Callithrix jacchus: one gene and its partners. The protein of the gene in region 4 purifies or fractionates together with the protein of the main gene of each other region. This does not show direct contact. Links are inferred from orthologs where the notes say so. Each region holds a gene or a part of one and is shown on either strand. Other genes may lie near its edges.

The links.
Region 1: the proteins of MAPK14 (region 4) and OBSL1 purify together in Homo sapiens (affinity purification with mass spectrometry; 6 studies listed by BioGRID and IntAct, counting the BioPlex papers as one, with this or other methods). This does not show direct contact. The link is inferred for Callithrix jacchus from reciprocal best matches to the Homo sapiens genes MAPK14 and OBSL1.
Region 2: the proteins of MAPK14 (region 4) and DUSP16 purify together in Homo sapiens (affinity purification with mass spectrometry; 7 studies listed by BioGRID and IntAct, counting the BioPlex papers as one, with this or other methods). This does not show direct contact. The link is inferred for Callithrix jacchus from reciprocal best matches to the Homo sapiens genes MAPK14 and DUSP16.
Region 3: the proteins of MAPK14 (region 4) and CCDC8 purify together in Homo sapiens (affinity purification with mass spectrometry; 3 studies listed by BioGRID and IntAct, counting the BioPlex papers as one, with this or other methods). This does not show direct contact. The link is inferred for Callithrix jacchus from reciprocal best matches to the Homo sapiens genes MAPK14 and CCDC8.
Region 5: the proteins of MAPK14 (region 4) and DUSP9 purify together in Homo sapiens (affinity purification with mass spectrometry; 8 studies listed by BioGRID and IntAct, counting the BioPlex papers as one, with this or other methods). This does not show direct contact. The link is inferred for Callithrix jacchus from reciprocal best matches to the Homo sapiens genes MAPK14 and DUSP9.
Region 6: the proteins of MAPK14 (region 4) and IQGAP1 purify together in Homo sapiens (affinity purification with mass spectrometry; 3 studies listed by BioGRID and IntAct, counting the BioPlex papers as one, with this or other methods). This does not show direct contact. The link is inferred for Callithrix jacchus from reciprocal best matches to the Homo sapiens genes MAPK14 and IQGAP1.

The regions. Positions count from the first base shown.
Region 1 is NC_133507.1:141,292,702-141,295,226, forward strand, and holds the end of OBSL1 (obscurin-like protein 1), read right to left. Parts: intron 2,453-2,525; coding exon 2,291-2,452; intron 1,974-2,290; coding exon 1,869-1,973; intron 1,556-1,868; coding exon 1,286-1,555; intron 1,054-1,285; coding exon of another isoform or gene 1,013-1,053; exon of another isoform or gene 1,009-1,012; coding exon 812-1,008; 3' UTR 634-811; coding exon of another isoform or gene 626-633; 3' UTR 501-625; downstream 1-500. UniProt on the Homo sapiens protein: Core component of the 3M complex, a complex required to regulate microtubule dynamics and genome integrity. It is unclear how the 3M complex regulates microtubules, it could act by controlling the level of a microtubule stabilizer.
Region 2 is NC_133510.1:10,833,881-10,837,092, reverse strand, and holds the end of DUSP16 (dual specificity protein phosphatase 16), read right to left. Parts: coding exon 3,106-3,212; 3' UTR 501-3,105; downstream 1-500. UniProt on the Homo sapiens protein: Dual specificity protein phosphatase involved in the inactivation of MAP kinases. Dephosphorylates MAPK10 bound to ARRB2.
Region 3 is NC_133523.1:40,427,056-40,431,009, forward strand, and holds the start of CCDC8 (coiled-coil domain-containing protein 8), read right to left. Parts: upstream 2,801-3,954; 5' UTR 2,058-2,800; coding exon 465-2,057; 3' UTR 1-464. UniProt on the Homo sapiens protein: Core component of the 3M complex, a complex required to regulate microtubule dynamics and genome integrity. It is unclear how the 3M complex regulates microtubules, it could act by controlling the level of a microtubule stabilizer.
Region 4 is NC_133505.1:44,336,287-44,340,524, reverse strand, and holds the start of MAPK14 (mitogen-activated protein kinase 14), read right to left. Parts: upstream 2,801-4,238; 5' UTR 2,429-2,800; coding exon 2,313-2,428; intron 2,139-2,312; exon of another isoform or gene 2,127-2,138; coding exon of another isoform or gene 2,086-2,126; intron 1-2,085. UniProt on the Homo sapiens protein: Serine/threonine kinase which acts as an essential component of the MAP kinase signal transduction pathway.
Region 5 is NC_133524.1:149,567,497-149,571,571, reverse strand, and holds the start of DUSP9 (dual specificity protein phosphatase 9), read right to left. Parts: upstream 2,801-4,075; 5' UTR 2,626-2,800; intron 1,919-2,625; exon of another isoform or gene 1,715-1,918; intron 1-1,714. UniProt on the Homo sapiens protein: Inactivates MAP kinases. Has a specificity for the ERK family.
Region 6 is NC_133507.1:19,899,455-19,903,132, forward strand, and holds the end of IQGAP1 (ras GTPase-activating-like protein IQGAP1), read right to left. Parts: intron 2,795-3,678; coding exon 2,681-2,794; 3' UTR 501-2,680; downstream 1-500. UniProt on the Homo sapiens protein: Plays a crucial role in regulating the dynamics and assembly of the actin cytoskeleton.

The DNA of each region.
Region 1 (2,525 bases), on a different chromosome or scaffold from region 4:
CGGAGTCCCATGGGCCACCTCCTGCATGTCTCCGCGGAGGGGCTGCCTTCCTCCCCATCACCCTGCCTCCCAGCCAGACTCATCTAAGGGTTCTTGTCCTTGTCTGTGGGGCAAACTGTAGCACCCCTCACCCTGGTCCCCTGGCCTCTACAAAGCCACCAGCCTGAGGGCAGTGGCAGGAGATGGGGGTGGGGGGTGCTGCTCTGGGCCAGGCTGGGTTGGGAAGGGAGTTGGGGAGGGGCTTAAATGCACGGTGCATGTCTGGTGTCTGTCATGCCAACCTGGACACCTCATGCTTCTGTCTCCCCCATCCCACTTTGTTTTACATCTTTTATAAATGTGCCAAACTGCGTGGCCTCTGCCAGGAATAGTGGTCTTTGGTGGCTGGCACTTTCATGGGCCAGGTATAAGCACTACAGCCCTCAGTCCCCAGTGTCATTCACTGCACAGGGGCGACAGGCAATGTCTGCCCTCCCACATCACTCAGAGAGCCAAGGGAATGAGCTGTAGCACTTTTATTGTTTCCTGACATCTCTGGTCTCCCTGTTTCTCCACCCCTGCCCAGGGTAGGGGCACACGCCTTCCAAGCTGTCCAAGGGCACCTGCCTGGCCTGGTTCGGTACTCCTAGTTACCTGCAGAGGAATGACTCCACGTGGGGCTGGGGAGAGAGTGGGTACCACCTTCCTCTCCCCAGGCAGAGCCTGGACACCAGCACAGGAAGATCTGGGCCCACAGGCTCTATCCTACCCTTTCTGGGCCTCTGTCAGGGCTGTCTTGGAAGGTGGGGGTCAGCTAGGGGTGGGACACAGCTCAGCATCTGGAGGGAATGCTGGGATTTGGGATAGAAGGTGGGATGTCTCTTCGTGTGAGACATGTGTAAGAGGAAAGAAAGAGGCCTCTGCCAAGGCTGACATGGAACTCACTGCGATGGGCAGGAGGGAGGAGGGACAGGCTGGAGGCAGGCAGTGTTAGGGAGGTACAGAGGAGAGGAACTGGTAGAAATGGGGCTGTTCAAGAGAGAGAAACATGGTCCAGTGGCAAGAGAGAGAAGCCTGGCAGGAAGGGGTATAGAAAGGTGGGAACAGCTGACTAGGAGCAGCTGATCTGAGTCAAGCAGTTCCAGCCCTGGGTGTGCTCTATCCCTCCCCTCCCCCACCCCCACCTCCAACACATTTCAGGACCTGCCGCCACCACAGTCCTAGAAAGCCTCCCATAGGTGTGGCTTAGCCCATCGGTTCCCAGGTGCCCTCGCCCTCTTGCCTCTTCCCAGTCGGCTTTACTCACCCTCTACCAGCAGCCGTGTGTGGGCGCTGTCCTGGCCGGCCTGGCAGCAGTAGGTGCCCTGGTCCTCAGGTCGAACGTCACGGATGACCAGGCTGTGGGTGGGGCCGTGGCTGCGCATCTCATACTTATCTCCCGGGCACAGCTGGGCCCCCTCCCGCAACCAGAACACGTGGCCCCCCGAGCGCGACACAGTCACTTCCAGCACGGCCCGGCGGCCCACCAGAATGGTCTTCTCGCGAGGGGGGCGGCGGCACATCTGGAGAGGCAATGCTGAGGGTAGGGGGCGGGAGCTTAAGTTAATAGGGACACACATGGCCCCCAGGAGAAGAGACGCATCTTCCCTCCCTGCAGCCTCCACTCAGGGCCTTAGCCCTCTATGCCACCGGTCCGTTCCCTTGCACCTCAAATCCAAAGTCTCCTCTTCCCAGGGAAACGCGGTGCCCTCTGTGACCCGGCCCAGGAGAGCCCTTCGCGGGAAGGGGAAGAGGAAGGCATCGTTCCCGGGGCCACCCCCGGTCCGTCAGTCCCCTGGCAGGAGAGGAGAGGATGTTCTTTCCCTGTCGCTCCCGCCCCTGGTGCTTACCCTCCACTTCCAGTAGAGCCAAGGACTGGGCGGGCCCCGCCTGGAAGCGGACTTCACCGGCGTCCTCGGGGCGCAGCTCGCTCAGCACCAGAATGTGTTTCTTCCCTGGGGGTGACGGGGTCGCTAGCGAGGCCGGAGCCACCTCAGAGGAGCGCTGGGGACGCGGGTGGGGCCGCAGCAGGCCCCTGGGTCGGTTCGGACGCCGTTAGTGTACGCTAAGGTGGGCGGAACCGGAGAGCGGGGCGGGTAGAGGAGCGGTCCGGGACTCGGGGCTGGGGGCGGAGGAGAGACCCGGGACGCGGCTCTGGGGCCTTGAGGCGGGGCCTGTCCGAGCCGGAGGTGGGGCTTGTCCCGCGGGGCGGGGTCTGTCCGAGCCTGGGCGGGGCAGCGAGGGGCCCGAAAGGGTAGCCTGGCGGCCAGACCTTCTTGTCGGATGCGGACGCGGGCTCCGGGTCTCAGCAGGCGGCCTCCGAGCTCCCAGCGCCCCGTGGTCTCGGCCTCCGACACGGTGCACTCGAACGTAGCGCCGTCGCCTTCGCGGGCACTCACCGACAGCAGCTCGGAGAGCACCTCCACAGTGCGGTCTGGGGCGGACCCGGGGCGTGAGCGGGGCGGGGCGGAGGGCAGGTGCTGGCCACGCCCCCACGCCCCCTTTTT
Region 2 (3,212 bases), on a different chromosome or scaffold from region 4:
CTCATTTTTATGAAACTGATGAAACTAAGCTTCTAGTCTCACTAAGTCGTCAAATCTACTGTCATGAGCAGAGAGGTCACTAAGATGTACGTGGCAAGGACAGAGGTTAGATCTTCAACAATTGCCCTTCCTGTTTTTCCTGTTGGAATCATAACATTGTTAATTGAAGTGGACCATGAGTGTGTAGCTGGCTTTTTTCTTCCTATCATGTACTTGTGTGTTCTGGAATCAGTCAGCTAGAAAATACTGACCAAGTGCCCTAGGCTTCTGCGCCATCGTGCGCATTTCATGCACACAGCAACGCTTTTACTGTTGGCTGATGATCCTGTGTTCCATGCCATGATAGAACAGAATATACCTGATGACAAAATCACTTTATTTTGAGCTAAATCCTCATTTACATGAGAAGAACAGGACAGGTTTCACCACGGCGTCCTCTGGCAACTTGGGTGGTGGTATTCCCACCAAGTGTATGGCTGAAAAATAGGTCTTTTCTCATATTTATGTATAAACAGGTACCAGTTTTGATTTTATTTCATCATTTCATACATTAACATACATGACACATCAAAATGAGAAATGCACAATTTAACCATTCAACAGCTGGCCTTACTTCAAAAGAACACTATATTCATATTAAACATTTACAGTCTTTCCATCTAGCTTTACACATGTCCTAAGTCGTTTTCCAGCATTTCTCACCTAGAAGTCTAAGTCTAGTTTTGCTCTTTAAAATCACCATCATCTATATCACCCTAGTAGGTGCCAGGATTACCCGATTATGTGCTGAAGAGAGCCAGCCACCACCCTGTCCAAAGACACCCAAGCAGCTCCAGAGCCGGCCTCCGAGGCTGCCCCTTCACCACGGCAGTCTTCATTCCACGAAATGATTTGACACGAGCGAACCAGCACTGAAGGCTGTAGTGTGTGACTACATCACAGTCACAGAAGAGGACCATGGCCAAGGGACGCCCTAAATGACAGCAGCTCATTAAAACCCAGTCCCTCAAACCTCCTGAAACATCCTTAGCAAGGAGCTACTGCTTTCATTTCTTAAAAATGTTTTGGAGGTGACCACATTCCGCAAGTGGTGAACCATTACACATTTGTGTGTGTGTGTACATAACATCAGAAATTACTGTGTGAAACTTGAGAATGTGATTACATTGAATGTATGTATAAAAACTAACTCGAATCATTGACCAGCTCTTTCCCAGTGTCCTTAGCAATGTGGCCAACCCTCTTCTGCCTTCACTTACACCCACCCCATCACCCATCACGGCACATTATTTGTGCACAGCTAATGTCTGTACGGCTCATCTTCCCCGTGACCACGCCAGTCTCTGTTGAGTCATGTCATTCTGTGCTGGTTTTAGAAGTCACCATAGGAAACATGAAGTCACATCCTGGTCAAAAAACTGTCCATTTCTCAAACAGAGAAAAACCTGAGATACGAGGCAGCAACTAGCGACACTTACAGGAAAGGAAAGAACAATGACAGCACCCGCCCAGTCTCACTCCCAAAAAAGCTGCTGTCATGAATTAGGCTTCAAAAGAGGACCCACATTGTAGTGGACAAAACCCAAAGCCAGGAGGAAGTTTGAAAGCAGATTTGCACTATCACTTGCGCACTTGTTCCAGTGACCTCCTACGTTCAGCTGCCAGGACCGAGTCCACAGTGATTGTAGGCTGAGGGCTGAGGATGCCCCTTGCTCCAGCTCCATTTGGATTCGCCCCTTCCACTGAAGACATGCCAGCCAGAGTTTCTGAAAATAGCTTGGCCATGGCTTTGCACTCTGCTCATAACTGATCAAAACTCAACGGTCTTCTCAGCTTTCTTAACAGTTTTATTCTGAATATTCCTTGCTCACTAAAGCCTTTCTCAGCCCTACTAGTAAATTCGAAAGTCTGAGGCAATTAATTACAGAAACACCACCCCCTCGCATGCCAAGGGGATAAAAGCCATTAAGGAAATAGGTTTCCTGCTTCTCCTCAGCAATTTTTACCTTTCTTAATCTTCTCATAATTTACCTCCCTTGGTAGTTTCCTGTAAAATTCTGCTGTATTGTTACATTTTACCAACTGTCCATGCAGTGAAGTAGAAATGGCAAAAATATCTACTCTGGCTGAGAAGTGGAAGGTGCTGCTGCTTGGTTACCAACCCAAATAAATTCACATTTGGCTGGAAACCAAGTTCATCTTTATTTAAAGGATTGACAATCCCATTTAAACAATTCTTTGATTTATACAGAGGGAGGGAGACTCGTTAGCCTCCCAACCTTAGCTTTAATCATGACGCTGCCAGGTTCCTGGCTGTTCAGCTGAATCCTAGACACTTTCCCTTCTCTTCATAAAGCTGAGAAGGAAACAAAATTAACTGCTTCCATCCAGGCCCACTGGAATTTTGTGCATAGAGTTTGAATTGGTCTGAAAAGTGTGACTAGCTACCTACCTATTCACAATGCCTAGAAAACGGGCTACCAGATATGGCAGTGGTCAAAGCCCCAACTTTCCTGTCTGAGGTACTGGGTTTGCTCTAAAGTAGACCTTGGCAAGACCCCTAATGGTCCATCCAGCAGAGTGATGCTGTGTCCCTCGGCTATCGGGTGAGCGTGGGTTTGTGAATCAGCTTTGGAAAGGATCGTTTCTCTTGGATTCACCACTAGGCTCTGTCCCTAACAGGGTCTACCTACCTGACCCACAGGCTGGCTCAGTCTCGGCGCTAAGGTGTACTATGGAAGGGACCAGACAGAGACTAATGTTTGAGATCTCTTAGTATGTGAAAATGGTAGAGGATTTTGTCCTCCGACACCAAATACACTTTCTTTTTAAGAACAAGATGATGTGTGAGTCACTGAATCAGATGACTGTCTGGGGGAGTCTAGCGTCTGCCCTTCCATTTTTGTTGAGAGAGGTATTAGCTGATCTCTCAAATGCAGATGTTAGGAGAGTAACAACTGGGTTGATCCACCTTTTGCTTTTACACCATAGCTCCATTTTCTAAAAATATATATGTATGTACATATATATATTTCAGATTTACAGGGAATTCTTTTGTGAACCAGAAAAAAAAATTGTCCATAGAAGTCGCAAGTGTTTTTCTTCTCAGGAGACCTCAATGATTTCCATGCTGCCCGAAAAGCTAGACTGACTGCCCACTTTCCCCAGCTCTTCCCGCGACCTATTCTCTGACATGATGCTCTCTCCAAATT
Region 3 (3,954 bases), on a different chromosome or scaffold from region 4:
CTCTCCTGTTTCAAACTGAGCACCTTGAGTTGCATCTGAGAAAGCTAAAACTATGGGTGATGCCACCCTATCCTATCGATTTCTTTCCTTACATTCTTTGGGTTGCTACAAGGAATCAGTCTTTTTTTAAAAAATCAGGTGGTGCACATGGTGGCTCACATCTGTAATCCCAGTGCTTTGGGAGGCCGAGGCAGGAGGATCACTTGAGGCCAGAAGTTTGAGGCTGCAGTGAGTTACGATCATGCCACTGCACTCCAGCCTGGGCAACAGAGTGAGACCCTGTCTCTAAAAAATAACAACAAAAAAAATCAAAGCATGAGACTAGATTTTAACAAGAGAATAAAGAGGGTGCTTAGGTGGAGATGTGGGCAGCATCCACCTCCGTTTTCAAGTTCAGAGGCAGAAAGATCAACCTCTCTCCCCCACACGGAGGGAGGGCCTGTGCGCTGTCCCTAGCTCCCACTTCACAGCTGGTCTTCTTGCTCTCCCTGCTCAGCTTCTGCTCTGCCCTCAGCCCTCAGCACTCTGAGGTTCCTGGCCTCACCGGCCCTGGGGACTCTCTTGGGCAGGGTTGGCAACCGGGGAGTGTGCCAGAAGGCTCTCCGGTGCTTGCGAAACCACGAAAAGCGTCCAGGGGTCTGGAACCTCACTGTCTTGACCTGTTTCCGGGCCCTGGCTCCTGAAGCTGTCCCTGTGGTCCCTTGGGCAGCTGAAGCTTCAGCTTCCTGGATGCCTGGGGCACCTGCCCTCTGATTATGTGCAGCCTGGGCCCTCCGATTATCTGCACCCTGGACAGCTGGGGACCTTTCCCTCTGGTCATGTACGGCCTCTTCCCTTTGATTATCTGCAGCCTCTAACCCCTGGTCAGCTGGGGCCTCTGCCCTCTGATTATCTGCAGCCTCTGACCCCTGGTCAGCTGGGGCCTCTGCCCTCTGATTATCTGCAGCCTCTGACCCCTGGTCAGCTGGGGCCTCTGCCCTCTGATTATCTGCAGCCTCTTCCCTCTGGTTATCTTCACCCTCTGGCCCCTGGTCAGCTGCGGCCTCTTCCCTCTGATTATCAGCAACCTCTTCTCTCTGGTTATCTGCAGCCTCTGGCCCCTGGTCAGCTGGGGCCTCTTCCCTCCGGTCAGCTATGGCCCCTTCCCTCTGATTATCTGCAGCCTCTCCCCCATGATTAGCCTGGAAGTCTGCCCCCTGACCTGTGGATGCTGTCTGCTCCTTTCTGTGGAGTCGAAAGGAGGCCCAGTTGATCTTGGGCCTCCATCGCCTGGGGGAGGTCTGGGGCGCACAGGCATCTCCCGCGTTTCCCACGCGATCCCTGGGGCTGGTGCCCTCTGGCGCGGATGATACTCCTGCGCTCCCTGATGCGGTGGAGGACAGCCGGGCCTCACCCACCCCGGGTCCCGCCCTCGGCGCCCAACCCTTCACCCTCCGCTTCAGCTTCCCCCAGGACACCTGGCCGACATACTCCCGCCACCTGTCCGCCTTGGACAGCCGAGGCCCCAGGTTGTCCTCAAACATCGGCACTGGCCGGTTGACGCGACGGCGGGCAGGCGGCGCACTGGGCTGCTTCTCCTCTCGCCGGAGGAAGGCCTCGACCAGTTCCTCATCATCCTCGCTCTCCAGATCGCTGCCCAGGAACTTGCTGCCCAGGTAGCTGACCGGCATCCTGCGCACCGCCTTGCCCCGCCGCGGGCCTTGGCGGCTCTGGTCTCTGGAGGTCTCGAAGTCGCTCAACTCACTGTCGCTGGCATTGCTGCTGTCGTAGGTGCCCACGACCAACCGGGGCGGAGGAGTCACCATCTGCTGCACTCTTCTCCTCACTCGGGGCTCCCTGGGCTTTCTGGGGGGCTGGGGCGGGTGCGGGGTGCTCTTCTCGATGATTCGGGCCACGTCCTCCAGGGTGCGGCCTTCTTCTTCCAGGAACTGGATCAGCCGCTCCCGAAATTCTGCTTCCTTGGTGGCGGGCTTGGAGATGACTCTCCAGACGCCCCCGGCCAGCCTGACCTCCCGGGGGATGAGCAAATAATCGACGTCCTCCCCAATCTGCAGCATCCCCACCGTGGAGTCCTCCTCCTTGCGGAACACCTTCCCGATCTTCTTAAAAGTCCCCACGGGCTTCAGGGCTTCCACGAGGACGTCCAAATCCACATCTTTGCAGACATCGGGGACGCTCCAAAGAATTAGGCAGTCGGGGGACGGGAGGAAGCCCCAGGGGAACCAGCCCCCCACGTGGCTTTTCTCGAGAGTCTTTAAGATCTCCAGAGTGGTATCTGAGGTGAGGGGGCAATGAGCCCCAACAAGCTACAGTCTTGAGGGAGGGACTGGAGGCCGGGGGAGTGCCAGCAACGCTGATCGGAGAGTCTCCTCCCCAGGCCAGGGACGAGCCCACGCCTCCTATCTCTTCGCCTGTACCAAGTCCAGTGTTGACCAAGTCCTGCTCCCTTGCCACGGACTTGGAGGAATCAATTTCCAGGATGCTTACGTGGGCGGGGGCGAGGTCAGTCCCGAGGCTCAAGGCCCACTCCAAGCTGGAAACGTGGTGGTCCAGCTCCAAGTTGGGGCGCGCGAGCTGCCAGCGATTCTTCCTGCCCCAGGCACCGGGGACGCGGCTGGAACTTGGAAGAGGAATTCGCAGACAAAGACGGTCCAGCCCAGGCTATTCAATATGGCCGAGGGGCTGGGAGGCCTCAGCCGGGCCCCGCAGTTGGGTACCCCGCCCCCAGGCAGGCCGCCACCCAGCTCCAGGCTGACCTTGACACGCTGCAGCCTGCCAGGCCGCGCGCTTAGGGCTCTGCACCTTGGAGCGCAGGGGCAGGAAGTTCCTCCTCGCCTTCCCCTAGAACGAGGCCCACCTTCCCCGTCTCATCTTACACTCCCGGACTCGGGAAGACTGACAGGGGGGCTGTCCACTCCCTTCGGGGCGGCCTCCCTCCCCTCCCCCACAGGGGTGTGGCCGCGTCCCGGGCCTAACTGGGCCCATTGCTTCCCAGCGAAGCGGCTGTAGCCCACGTCAGCACCTTTCCTGAAAGGCAGCGGTTTCCAGACCTGCCCTCCGAAATGGACAAGTCCCAGCCAAACCCCGGAGGTGGCTGTGCTAGTGGATTCGACCTTTTGAGGGCCACTGGCACTATAGATGAGCATGTTAAATTCACGCGACCATCGGTACCCGTACACCCACACACGTGGGTAGAGAAATGGGTACCAGGTTCTTATTGCAACAGTCCCACTGTGGCGCGTGGCACAAGGTCGGGGCTCAATGCATAGTTTTGAGTGGATGAATAACCTAAACGTTCATGGCCCGGGGCGGTGGCTCACACCTGTAATCTCAGCACTTTGGGAGGCCGAGGCGGGTGGAACAAACACTTGAGGCCAGCAGTTCGAGAGAAGCCTGGCCAACGTGGTGAATCCCTCCTCTGTACAAAAAAAAAAAAAAAAAAAAAAAAAATACAAACATTTGCCGGGCTCGGCCGGGGGCAGTGGCTCAGGCCTGTAATCCCAGCACTTTGGGAGGCTGAGGTGGGCAGATCACGGGGTCAGGAGACAGACCATCCTGGCTAACACGGTGAAACCCTGTCTCTACTAAAAATACAAAAAAATTAGCCAGGCATGGTGGTCGGTGCCTGTAATCCCAGCTACTCAGCAGGCTGAGACAAGAGAATCACTTGAACCCGGGAGGCGGAGGTTGCAGTGAGCCAAGATCAGCCACTGCACTGCACTCCATCCTGAGCAACAGTGAGACTCGTCTCAAAAATAAAAAAGAAATTAGCCAGGCGTGGTGGTGCCCGTGCGTAGTCTCAGCTACTCTGGAGGCTGAGGCAGGAGAACTGCTTAAACCCAGGAGGTGGAGGTTGCAGTGAGCCAAGATCGAGCCACTGCACTCTAGCCTGGGTGACAGACCTAAATTCCGTATAAAATAAAAATTTAAAAAATAGCCGGGCGTAGTGGTGTG
Region 4 (4,238 bases):
CTGTCTCTACTAAAAATACAAAACTTAGCTGGGCGTGATAGCATGCGCCTGTAGTCCCAGCTACTCAGGAGGCTGAGGCAGGAGAACTGCTTGAACCCGGGAGATGGAGGTCGCAGTGAACCGTAATTGTGCCACTGCACTCCAGCCTGGTGGCAGAGCGAGATTGTCTCAAAAAAAAAAAAAAAAAAAAAAAGAGACAGTAGAGTAACTGGAGAACAAAAAGGAAAGGAGACTTTTCACTGAATACCTTTTTAAAGCTTTCAAATTTTATCCAATGTCAATGCACTACCTATTTTTTAAAACCTGTTCAATAAAAGTACTTTTAAGTGTCAGATACTGCTGACTTCTATACCACAGAAAAATATACCACTAAAGAAATGTGGAGTTAATTTTAATGACACTTCACTGTAAATCTGGATCTCCTGTTCCAGTTCAGAGCGAGTCACCAACAGCAGTGAACTCTTGCAAGCAATTCAATTGGAGTTTCCCAAACCCTCTACAGTTGACTTATTCTGCTGTATCACTCCATTAAAATTTAAATAGCATTGAAAACAAAAACACGACACTACAGAAATGAATGTGTCAATTCAAGAAAGAAAAAAATGGAAAGCTATTAATGAGCCATAAAATATTAAAGGAGCAATGATCCAAATACATCTTTGAAAATTAGCAATTCAAGTAGATATATATACGTATATACTGCATGTAAAATGCTGTAAATCAACTACACACACACACACACTCTCTTTCTCTCTCTCTGAATGTAAAATGTTGCAAATTCCTTTAAAATGTAAACTGACACACTGTAAAAATGAGAGAAAGATGTCAAGCACGGTGCATTCTACAACATAACTTAAGCAGCTTGAACTAGAAAATGCAACATGATCTGTTGCTGGACACAATTGCACAATCTCAATTACCCAGAAGATTCTACCAAACAGGAAATTCATGATGTGACTTCAGGAAACACAGCAATCATATTTAAAGATTAACACATCCAAAAGCCTGGAATTTGTTCCAAAACAAAAAACGATTTTACAGGCCCCTTTTCAAATCTTGCATAAACACGAATTACTAAAACACAGAAAAAGCTAACCGTTAAATCTGATATTTAGTTTCAGATCCATAGCTTTCAAATGATACAAAATCTAAAATACAGGGTATAAAACCTTGGAAGTTAGAGGTCAGTTAGTGAAATATTTCAGGTCTGGAAATCATATGATATCGACTTAATTTAAAACACACTCATAGTGTAAATTAAAGCTAAAAAGTATTTCTTCCCTTCCTTTTCTATGTGGTTCCATATCTTTACGAAAACCATCGTGTACCTCAAGCCATAAATGCAGATAATTCCCTGCAAACTCTCTGAGGGACTTTTAAACCACAGTATTCGCAGGAATTATCACAACAAGAAATTTACAATACCTCCCAGCACTGTTAATAACTTTTTGATCTTGAGGGCACCTCACAGATCTGAATCTTTCTTGCTCCAAAGGAGAAAATTGTTTTGTCGAACAATACTTAAATGAGCAGTGGTATGTGACTAATCAGTGAGGCTGCCAGTTTCTCAAGCTGCAGTGTTCTTGCAAGCATTACCACCGCCGCCCCTCCACGGAAAGGAAATACGCTTTCAACTGAATCGGAAACACACCACTCAAGCTGGCACAGTGCTCACTGAGATAAAGTCGGTATTTTAAGCTCTATGGATCGGTGCTAACTCAAGTGCGAATTCAAAAAGAACGCTTCTCAAGATGGGATTTCGACAGAGGTTTGCAAAAAAAGAAGGAAAAAAAAAGCCCGGAGAGAGCTCCCTTCCTGCTCAGTTTTGTTCAGATGACTGAAGTCTTCGGGTTGGCCTCTGCCCTTCTGCTTCTCCCGGGAGCTCCCCGAGCTTGTCTGCTCAAAGGACAGGCTCCCGCGTTCCAGCGTGGGCGCATCGCGGGAGAGGGTCCTTCTGCTCCAGGTCGGTAGGGAGACCCCCCAAGAAAGCAGCCCTGCCCCCGGCGCCTGCCGCCGAACAGCAACCCTCCGAGATGGGAAGGCGCAGGGTGCTACCCAGAACCGAGCTCCAGCACCACCACCTACCTCTCGCAGCGGACCTGAGTGCTGCACACGGTGGACCACATACCCGCGAGTGCAGGGCGAGGGGTGCAGGAGGTGCAGAACAGGCAGGGCTCGAAGGGCAGCAATGCCCTCCCCCGAGGAAAATTCCTGCCACTTGACGCAACGCTGAGCCGTGGGGCAGGCCTGGCCCTCGGGCGCGAGGGGCCACCCTGACCACAGCAGCCCCAGCGAGGCCCGGCGACACTCACCACACAGAGCCATAGGCGCCGGAGCCCACTGGAGACAGGTTCTGGTAACGCTCGGGCACCTCCCAGATTGTCTTGTTCAGCTCCTGCCGGTAGAACGTGGGCCTCTCCTGAGACATTTTCCAGCGGCAGCCGCCAGGCAAGAAGGTGGCCCTGTGGGGCCCCCGCCTGCACCCGCACCCTCTCCCCGGCCCTTGCTGCCCGCCCAACCGGGCGGGGACCTCGCGCTGGTCGCCCGCGCAGGTGCGGCTGCCGCGACCCCGCAGACTCCCGCGCGCGCGGCTGCTGTCAGCCGCAGCGGCTGGATGCGCCTCTGCGACTGGGGCAAGCCCGGTTAAGAGAAGGGACGCGCTCTGGCGCTCAAGGCTGCGCCCGCCGCGATATCCCTGCACCTTCGCCCCTACTAGGCCGACTCTGGGCTGCGTCGCAGGACTTCTGCTCCAGCTGCGCCCGCTGAGGATCCAGTGGTCCCGGTTCCAGAGCCAGCAAACGGGAGCCTCCCCGTACTCTCGCGAGAACAGCTCCTGGAACTCTCCGCGAACCGAGATTTTACCCAATATGGAACCTCTCCGCGGGCGGGGCTTCGTGAGAGGAGAATATGGGAGAAGCAATTCTCGCGAGAAGAGAGCAACAACTGTAGACCAGAGGCAGAAATTCCCCAGGGACTGTCTCCTTAAGGGCGCGAAGGAGCACTAGGGAAGAAAGAGATAAGCGGGCAGCACACGCCGCGCGCGCCTCACCGTGGCCGGCGGGGCAAATACCTGGCTCTGTGGTGGGAAACGAGAGGGACAAATAGCATGTTGGGGAAGAGCCAAAAGATCTTTAACAGAGAGTAGTTCCCAGCAGCTGAGCACCTGCTCAACAGAACCCCCAAATTCCAAAAAACACTTGCATAAAAAAGAGACAAGTTCCGGCCAGAAGGCTGCTGCATTCCCATCTGTTCAAGGACATGTGGTTACTCTTCAAGATGCTTGATGAAATCTGCCCCCCAAAACAAATGTCAACCTGCATCAAAGCTAGGCTCTCCATTCAAACTCTCCTAGTAGTTCTTAAACTTACACGCAGAAAAATCACTCTAGGAGTTTAAGATGCAAGTTCCCAGGACTCACAGGGAATCTAATTGGGTAGGTCAGAGGACGGCATCAAGAGCATGTATTTTTATAGTACATCTTAGGTGGTTCTGATTCAGGAAAGTCTCTGATATTTCCCTTTGAGAAGCATTTAAAAAAACCATTACACTGAAGACTTGAAACTGACTCCTATCCTGAAGAGCCATCAGTGAAGAGGATTTTAAGCCTTTAACTTAGGCCTCTTGGAGTAAGAAGAATAGGGCATGAGTCTCATCAAATTTAGGCAAGTCAATTGACCTTTCCTGAACCCTTAGTTCAGGAAAACCCTTAGGAATTTCTGCCCTGCATTCCCGATGAACAGAGTCATGTGTAAAAACTGAACAAGATAAATGTAAATGGGCAAGGCATTATAACCTCATGCCTACATCCATTATCAACCTACACCTATGCTAAAGCTTGTTACAATGAGCAGAAGAATCAGATCCTGTCTGATTCTCTTAGTTTCTTGTATTAGAAATAACTGGGTGCAAGCCAGGACATTTCTCATCATTTCCCGTGTCATACCTTGGAGGGCTCAGACTTTGCCTATCTTGTCCCAACATCTAGCACAGTGTCTAGAACATAAAGCATGTCCCATACGTATTTATTGAAAAATTATGAACAATCACCATGATTTCAATTTAGGAGGTGGTACAGGATCCTCAGTCCTCCTCAAGGAAAGCAACATAAAACCAGAAAACAGAGTCATGGGTGATTCATGGAAAGCTGTCTTGGATCCAATGTAGCTTAGCTGGAATTCTCTTATCTATAAAAACATAATGCTTGAGAATGTTCCAAACTAGGGAGGCTAGGAAGCTTT
Region 5 (4,075 bases), on a different chromosome or scaffold from region 4:
AGGTCCCCTCGTCCAGGCAGCCCTCCCAACTCGGAGCCAGTAGTCTCCCTCCTTTGTGCTCCCCAGTGTGGTCACTTTCCCCCTTTCTCAGTGTGTTCCTGGGGCAGGAACTTTGTCTTCTCCCTCCTCCTATCTCAGCCTAGTCCCACAGTGGTGGAGGTGTACACTGGTGCCCAGCCCGGGGGCTGCCTCCAGGCCCACTGCAGCTGTGGGTGGGAGCTCAGAGTGGCCAGGGGTTGAAGGCACCACCGAGGTTCTGCCATGTGCCAGTCTGGTTGTGGCTAGTAGGGGTGGCACAGGGCTGTGAGCAGCCGGGAGCTGGACAGCGGTGTTCCCCGCTCCTGTGCCTGGGGGCTCAGTCTGGCTGGAGAGGGAGCTCCTGAGGTGCTTAGGCCACTCTGGAGAGGGCTCCCTGGAGGTGAGAGGAGCTGGGCTAGGATGAGGATGAAGAGAGGCAGCCTCCGAAATGGTGAAGGGAGGGGAAGCCCGGGATCCAAGAGTCCCTGGCTCCCGACCGGGCGAGGGGCTCCCTGAACCTAACTGCGGAGCCGTGCTGGCAAGCCTTCCCATCCGGAGAAAGAATTTAGGAGGGGGCCATAAGGGGCTCATGAGGAGGCCATGAGGGGCTCAATCTCCAAAGTCAGAGCTGAGAGTTCAGGGCCCACAGCGCCCGCAGCGCCAGCAACAGGACAAACGGGAACCTGTTGCGGCCTCCGCACTGCAGGGCTGAGCGCAGCCAACCTCCTAACCCCCTCTAACGGCGACCCTCGCCTGACTGCCCCCACTCAGGCCCCCAGCAGCGCCAGCTCTGGGCGCCGCCGAGCCCCGCAGCCACTCCCGGGTGGGCCGTGCAGGGAGAGGCCGCGTCGCGCGCCCGGGCCTCTCCTGGCCCCCTCCGGCGGGCGGAGCCAGGCCGCGCGCTCGCTGCTCGTCGCAGGGTGGGCGCTGCGCCCGCCTACCCCGCCCCCGCCCCTGCCGGGCGCCCCGGGCCTCCGCCCGGCCGGGCCAGCGCCCCCTGGAGGCCGCGAGGAAGCCGCCGTCTGCAGGCCTCGCGCGTGCCGAGTGCGCCCTCTGGTCCCGGGGGCCTCCCGAGAGCGGCGCCGCGCCGCCTTCCCACCCCGAAATGCACCATTCCCGCCGGGCCGAGTGGCAGGATTTCGGCTGTCGCGGCCGGGTCACATGGCCAAGAGCACAAGTCCCAGAGACAGCGTGTCTGCCAAATCCAGTGTCTTTTCCATCAAATCCACTTTCTGCTGGGGATGGTCGGTCTCCTCGCGGGACTGGGAGTTCCTCCAAGGCAGGAACGTGTGTGTGCCCGGCCCCAAGCTGGCCCCAGCCCCCAGTGCAGGGCCTGGCACGCGCCCGGCGCTCGCGGAAGAAATGCTCGTTAACAAAGAAGGCATGAATGAATGAAACCAATTGTTGCCTGAGGGAGCTGCTCCTGCTTTTCCTTCTGCCGATTACACACTCCTCCCCCACCCCGACACGCATAAGCACACGTGCACATACAGCTCTCCCCGTAACACACACACAGGCCGGCACCCAGACAGCGCGCGCGGACTCCAGCCCGCATGGAACCCACCTACTACGGGCTGGTCGGGCAGCTGGCGCCCCTTTGGTCCCACCTGGGACGCCTCCATTTCAGCGGCGGGCGCTCTCTGCCTCCACCCCGCCCCTCCCCCCGGCCCCTTGCCTCCGCATCTAAGTACCCTACCTTGCACCCCAAGTGCCTTCTTTATCTCTTAGGGAAGAGGCCAAGTCAGTCGCTGGGGAGTCTCAAGGTCTGTTTAGGGAGGCACCTGGGGAGCCGAAGGCTGATGAGACGCTGCCGAAGGAGAGCCAGAGGTGCCTGGCAGGGATGCCACCAAATGCTGCAGCCTCTAGAGCCCGCGTGCCAGGTGTTGGGAGGGAGGGACTCAGAGATGTGCTGGGGGTGTCGAAGGCTATTTGTGATGGGGGCGGGGTAGGGTGCTGGAGAGCGTGAATCCAGCAGGTGTGCGCGCGTGCTGGGGCGGATGAGAGTGCGCGCTGGAGATGCTGGAGGTGTGTGCCTGGGACGTGGGGAGTATCGGCCGCTGGGATGTGGATTTGTGATGGGACCTCGCTCCCGGGTGGGTGGACTGCAGTGTCTCTGGGCTGGGCACCTGGGTGGGGTGTCTGTCATGGGATATGGGGAGTTCAAGGTGGCAAGAGCATGGTAGGGGGAGCTATGTTAGTGCAGGTATCGCAGAGATGTGTTGGAAGCGTGCGTGTGCGCCTGGGTGTGTACTGGGGCGTGGCAGGGTCTCGGTGGGTTGGCATGAGTTGGGGACAGTGGTGAGTAGTGGTACAGGGGATGCTAGTGTGTGCATTACAGGGACCCGGCTCTGTGATGCGTGGTTTGTGTGCGCGCGAGTGTGCAGCCGGTCTAAGTGGCAGTGGACACGGGAGGTGCACGGGAGGGGTGCACGGGTGTGCGGCGGCAGCACCCAATGGGTCTCCTAGGGGCGCGTGCGCCGGCTTCGTGGGGAGTGCCTTGTCAGGACTTTGGGGGTGTGGGGTGGAGGAGGGGGTGCACGTAGGGGGGGTCAGCCAGGCCGGGTGGGGTGGGGTGGGGGTCCCCAGGACGTCGTGTGCTCCACTCACCTCTGCTCCGCTCGGTTCTCTGAGCCTGTTCCCTGCGTCGCGGCCGGGAAGTTTCTGAAGCTCGGTCGGCGGGAAGCGCCACTGCTGCCGCCGAACGCCACCGGAACCCCGGGCGGCGGCCTTGCCAGGAGCTGAGGGGCAGCCGCCGGCGCTGCGGAGGGAAACTCCAAATCCCGCCCCCGCCGCCGCCGCCGCCGCCACCGCCTCCTCCGCCTCCGCCTCCTCCGCCTCCGCCACCGCCTCCTCCCCTCCCATCGCCGTCTTCTCCGCCCCCTGCCCAGGAGGGGCAATGTAGCTGGCGGCGCGCAGGGAGGGAGCGGGGAGGGGCCGCGGCCTTCCCGGCGTCTCCCTCCACCTCCCACGCCCCCGCCCGCCTTCCTCCCACCTGCAAGCTTCTGCCCTCTCCGCCCGTCCTGCACGACGCGCCCTGCGCTTCCCGGTCCCCAATGGTGCTACTGAGTGGGGACTTCGGAGCTTGGAGCGCCGGAGTGGGGTTGGGGGCCCTGAACTAGGCTGGGCCTGGGCTAGGGGGACGGTTGCTCCGCAGAATCTGCACTGGCACCCCAGCCAAGGGGCCCCCTGCAGTGTCTCCTCTTATTCTCATATGTCAGATTCTGGCTACTAGTAATAGCATTTGAGCCTCAGTGCCTGGAAGGGGTGGAGCCAGGATGTTGAGGGAGGGGCTGGGAGCAAGTAGGGAGCGGGTGTTGTCACCAGGTCCCGTTAGCTTTCTCCTTTGTACCACAGGTCACACCCATTGGCACCAAGGACCTCATTTTATCCTTACAGCAGTTCTGGAAGTCTGAGGAGATTGTCCCCATGTTACAGCCCGGGAAACTGAGGCCGTGGCTCCCTGGTGGTGGCACGATAGTGTAGTGGCAAAGTAGGATGGGGCTCGGGCTGGCTGAGTTCAGAAGCCTAGAGCCTGAACGAGCGTGAGTGCGGAAGATTGCATGGGGAGGGGAGGGGAGGCAGCCGTCCGAGGTGTGCACCTGGCCTTTCTGGGGCTCCCAGGCCAGCGGTGCATGAGCCTGGCCTCCTGCCTGCAGTGGAGGAGAGGTTGAGATCCAGCAGGAGGATATGAGCGCAGAATAAGGTGCGGCAGGGAGGGCTGGGGTGCCAGCAGCTCCACTGGCTGCCTGGCTGTGTCTGCGGCAGCGCTGAATTCCCCTGAGTCATTACCCCTGGAAGAGACAAGGGCAGCAGCTTTGCCTCTGGAGCCCAGTCCCTGCCCCATCTCTGGGTCTCCATTTCCTGGTCTGTACTTTTGGGGAGAGAGGTGGGATCATGTGATTTCCAAGGGCCCTCCTATCTGTGCAGTTTCAAGCCATGGTGAGTGAGCTGGGAGGGTCCTGCTGTTGCCAGCCAGGCCTGTCCGCCCTGCTCTGGGCCCGACTGCAGCAGAGTCCCTCCTGGAAGGAGGCCACTGGCCCTGCAACCCTGTCCCTGC
Region 6 (3,678 bases), on a different chromosome or scaffold from region 4:
AGCCTCCCGAAGTGCTGGGATTACAGGCGTGAGCCACCATGCCCAGCCCCCCCTCCCTTTTTTTTCCTGCTGGGACTTACTTTTTCCATCTTCAACATCCCCTAGTCTTTCCTGGTGACTCGCATGTAACCCAGAAGCCCCCTAAGGGGCACTCTCTGTGTACTCAACACCTAGTGTGTCAGTCAAAAAAAGGTGAAATGCTGTTGCAATTTTAAACTTTATACCATTAGTCAATCAGAATTAAGTGACAAATAATGTTTGCTTCCCCTCACCCCCTTCTTTTTATGGTGAAGATAACTTGAGCATATCCATTAAAAAGGCTGAAGTCACACATTCACACATTAAAAATCACTTTAAGACACTCAGTGATTTGACAGTGGACTTATGTTTTCCCCTTAAAAAGAAAGGGGTTGTTTGCTGTTGTGGTTTTAACTATTACATCTCACTCTAGTCAAGATGTGTAGCCAACTGTTAACAACGAAACTGAGAAAAACACAAACAACGAACAAATGACCTTTTATTTCATACAGAGATACAAAGGCAATTGTGCGCAGCAACAATCTGATGGGCAGTCCAGATTCCTGGGAGGAAGTAAATTCATGGTAAATGTCATGATGTCTGGTGTAGGAGAAGGTCAAAGGAGGAGAGAGGGGACAGAATGCTACTGCTAATAAATAACAGTATCAAGAACTGCATGGTTTCAATGCCAGGAGTTTGTTAGGTATCTTCCATGCCACTAAAACCATAATTCTACATCGTCATCATCAACATCCTTGAAGTGCATTAGCAGTTGTGCTGAGGGACTACAATCCTTACAAATAATTGACACATTTTATAGAAGGAGCTGTAAACTCTGCTCGTTATTGCCTGCCTTGGATGTGGCCTTTGGGACTGACAGTCTCTTTTAAGGAAACATGGTTGACACACTTTGGTTGGTCCCAGTTTTTGAGGCAGTGCTAGTTGTAATAGCATCATCCTTTAATCTGAGGAAATGTTTATTTTAAAAAAACCTGTCTTTCAAAACAGCAAAAAACAAGGTCTGGGTAGTGTCGAATCCTTCCATGGCACTCTGCGCCTCCCTGTGGGCTGTAACCATGGACCTGAGTCAAGAGTCTCATAAAAAGACTTCTCCAATGCATTTACAATAGGGACATGCCACATGGCTTGTTATTCATTAAAACAGTTTATTGGCTTTAAATGTACATCAGTAAATTTTTAAATGCTAAAAATTTATGATAAAAGAATACCGAACCAAAACATAAAAGAAAATAGAGGCTCAACGGCATGATTTTAATATATTTTCCTGGATAAACAGATTTTTAAAAAGTATACTACTTTTTATTCAAGAACAAAAGCTTTCTAAATTCAATGTTTAGAACTGATTTTTCTTTTTTTTTAATAAGCCCAGAAAACTGGGGATCATAAAATAAAGGCACAATGTGGGCAGCAAAAGAAAAAAGGAGGAAAAAAAAAGGGAGAAAAATTGGTTTCAATCTCACATGTAACAAAAGTTGACTGGTTTTGTTTTTGTTTTAGACAATTTAAGGCAGAATTATCTCTCTGCAATCCTGCAGATAAATCCTAGTGTTTTAGCTATAAGTTTCAAGAGTTCAGATATACAGATAAACCAATTTAAAAAAACCGTTTTCTTAATCTAAAGCTTTTGATGCATTTTAAATGCATCAAAAATCTTTAAAATGCATTATAAATCTTTAAAATTCCTATCACCCACATTTTAAGAAATAGATCTATATTTCGATAAGACACTCTTAAGATATAAAAGTTTTAAAAAAAACAATGACAATTCTACACTAGGGCCAACTCATTCCTCTGCCAGAGGGATGGAGTGAATTGTCTCTTTGAATCAAGTCAATCTCTATGCACCAACACAAGCAGGCAGGTATCTTCACCCATTCTGAATTTACCTAGGTAGCTGAATTTTATCAACCGGACTCTCCCATCCACTAGACGGAGAGTTACACAAACAGAATTGCCCAAGTTTGATGATGAAATTTAAAAACACTACCTCATTTTTCTAGAAATGGATCCTTTGAATATACAACAGTCACTTCTATTAGCTCCTGTCCATAAAGAAAAGCACAATGGGAGAGAAGCAATGATCCTCATATCCTTCAACTTTCCTGATAGGACAGAAATAGAAAGGAACTTTACTTTTAAATGACAACCTAACAGCTGTTAGCAACATGACATTCACTTTTAAATGACATCCTAACAATTGTTAAGAACATGACATTTTAGTTGTATGTCTTATGTATGTAGGTCATTGGTGCTAATAGCTTCCACTTCTAAATGACAAAAATTTGAATCCTACCATCCCTATTGCTAATTAAAGCAAACACCAAAGCTTACAATATAGTAATGCAACCTCTAAGACTGTAACAACACAGAGAAATTTTAGTGGAGTTTCCACTCTTTCCTAAGTAATGGAAGAAAATGAAGAATACAGAAACGCCAGACTAAGCCTGAATTTCACTATGAAAAAAGGGTAACAAATGTCCCATCAGAAGGAGAGGAGTTAAAAATGTGGCATTGGGAATGCATCAGATTGAGGCGTTGTTGTGGGCTAGGTCTTTGCTTCCAATGAGTAAAGAAGGATCTAGAAAGGCAGCTGTGGGGTGCTTCTTTCCTTCATCCTTCTGGGCTGGCAGCAAGTGACCAATTACTTCCCGTAGAACTTTTTGTTGAGAAGGAAGATCAGGAGGTTGACATTTACTTTAGCTCTATCAAATAATTTCATGACTGCAACTCCTTCGTATTGTAGCTGCAGCAGGTCCTATTTTAAAAAACAAAACATTGTGACAGTGAATCAAGTCTGTGGAACCAGGAAAAAGGGCATGATGTGGGGGAGAATCCAGATGGGCCGAGGCTGTCTTGTGTGCCAGATGTGAAATGGGGCCACAGAGAAGCTCCTAGCTAGGAAACTACCCACTGCGTAACCAGCCTGAGAGCTGCAGCAACATGGTGCGCTGGCCAAGGGAGTCTTCTGGTTAATTTGGAGTTAGAAAGTCATGTTGTTCATATCAAAATTAATCATACAGGGAAAGAAAAAGAAACATGTTCAGTTGCCACATGACATCTAAGCTTTTGATTTCAGAAGTCACACTGACATTTTCACATTTCATCCACGTTATGGGTCACTAGTTTTAATAAATCTGGAAAAGGCGAAGGCATTGAAACCTATGACTAAATATACTAAGCACAGGAAATGAGACAAGGCTAGTAATGTTATCTCAATACTATCTGCTAGATTCTTCATTTCTGCTCCACAAGAGAACACTTTCTATCCTGAAGGCAAGGGAAAAAGAGAGAACTTGGTGCTTTATTAGCATATGTGCTCAGGCACTGTGTAAGCACATTATGTAGCATCTTTTAAAGTCCTCACAAATTTTTATGAGGTGTGATTATCCCAACTTTAAAGATAAACTACTGAGGCTCAGAGGTGTTAAATGACTTCACAACAGGACAGAGACGGACATGGTAAATCCAGATCTGACTGCAAAGCTCCTGCTTTTCCTGCTATCTTCACCACTGATCCTAAACAAGTTTATGAAATCTTGAGTGGTCTCACTTCTAAAATTTGGAAGAGTGGTGAAGAGAAAGCAAGGGTCAAAGGGCTTGAAAGGGCCCCACAAGGCTGGGTGCAGTGGCTCATGCCTG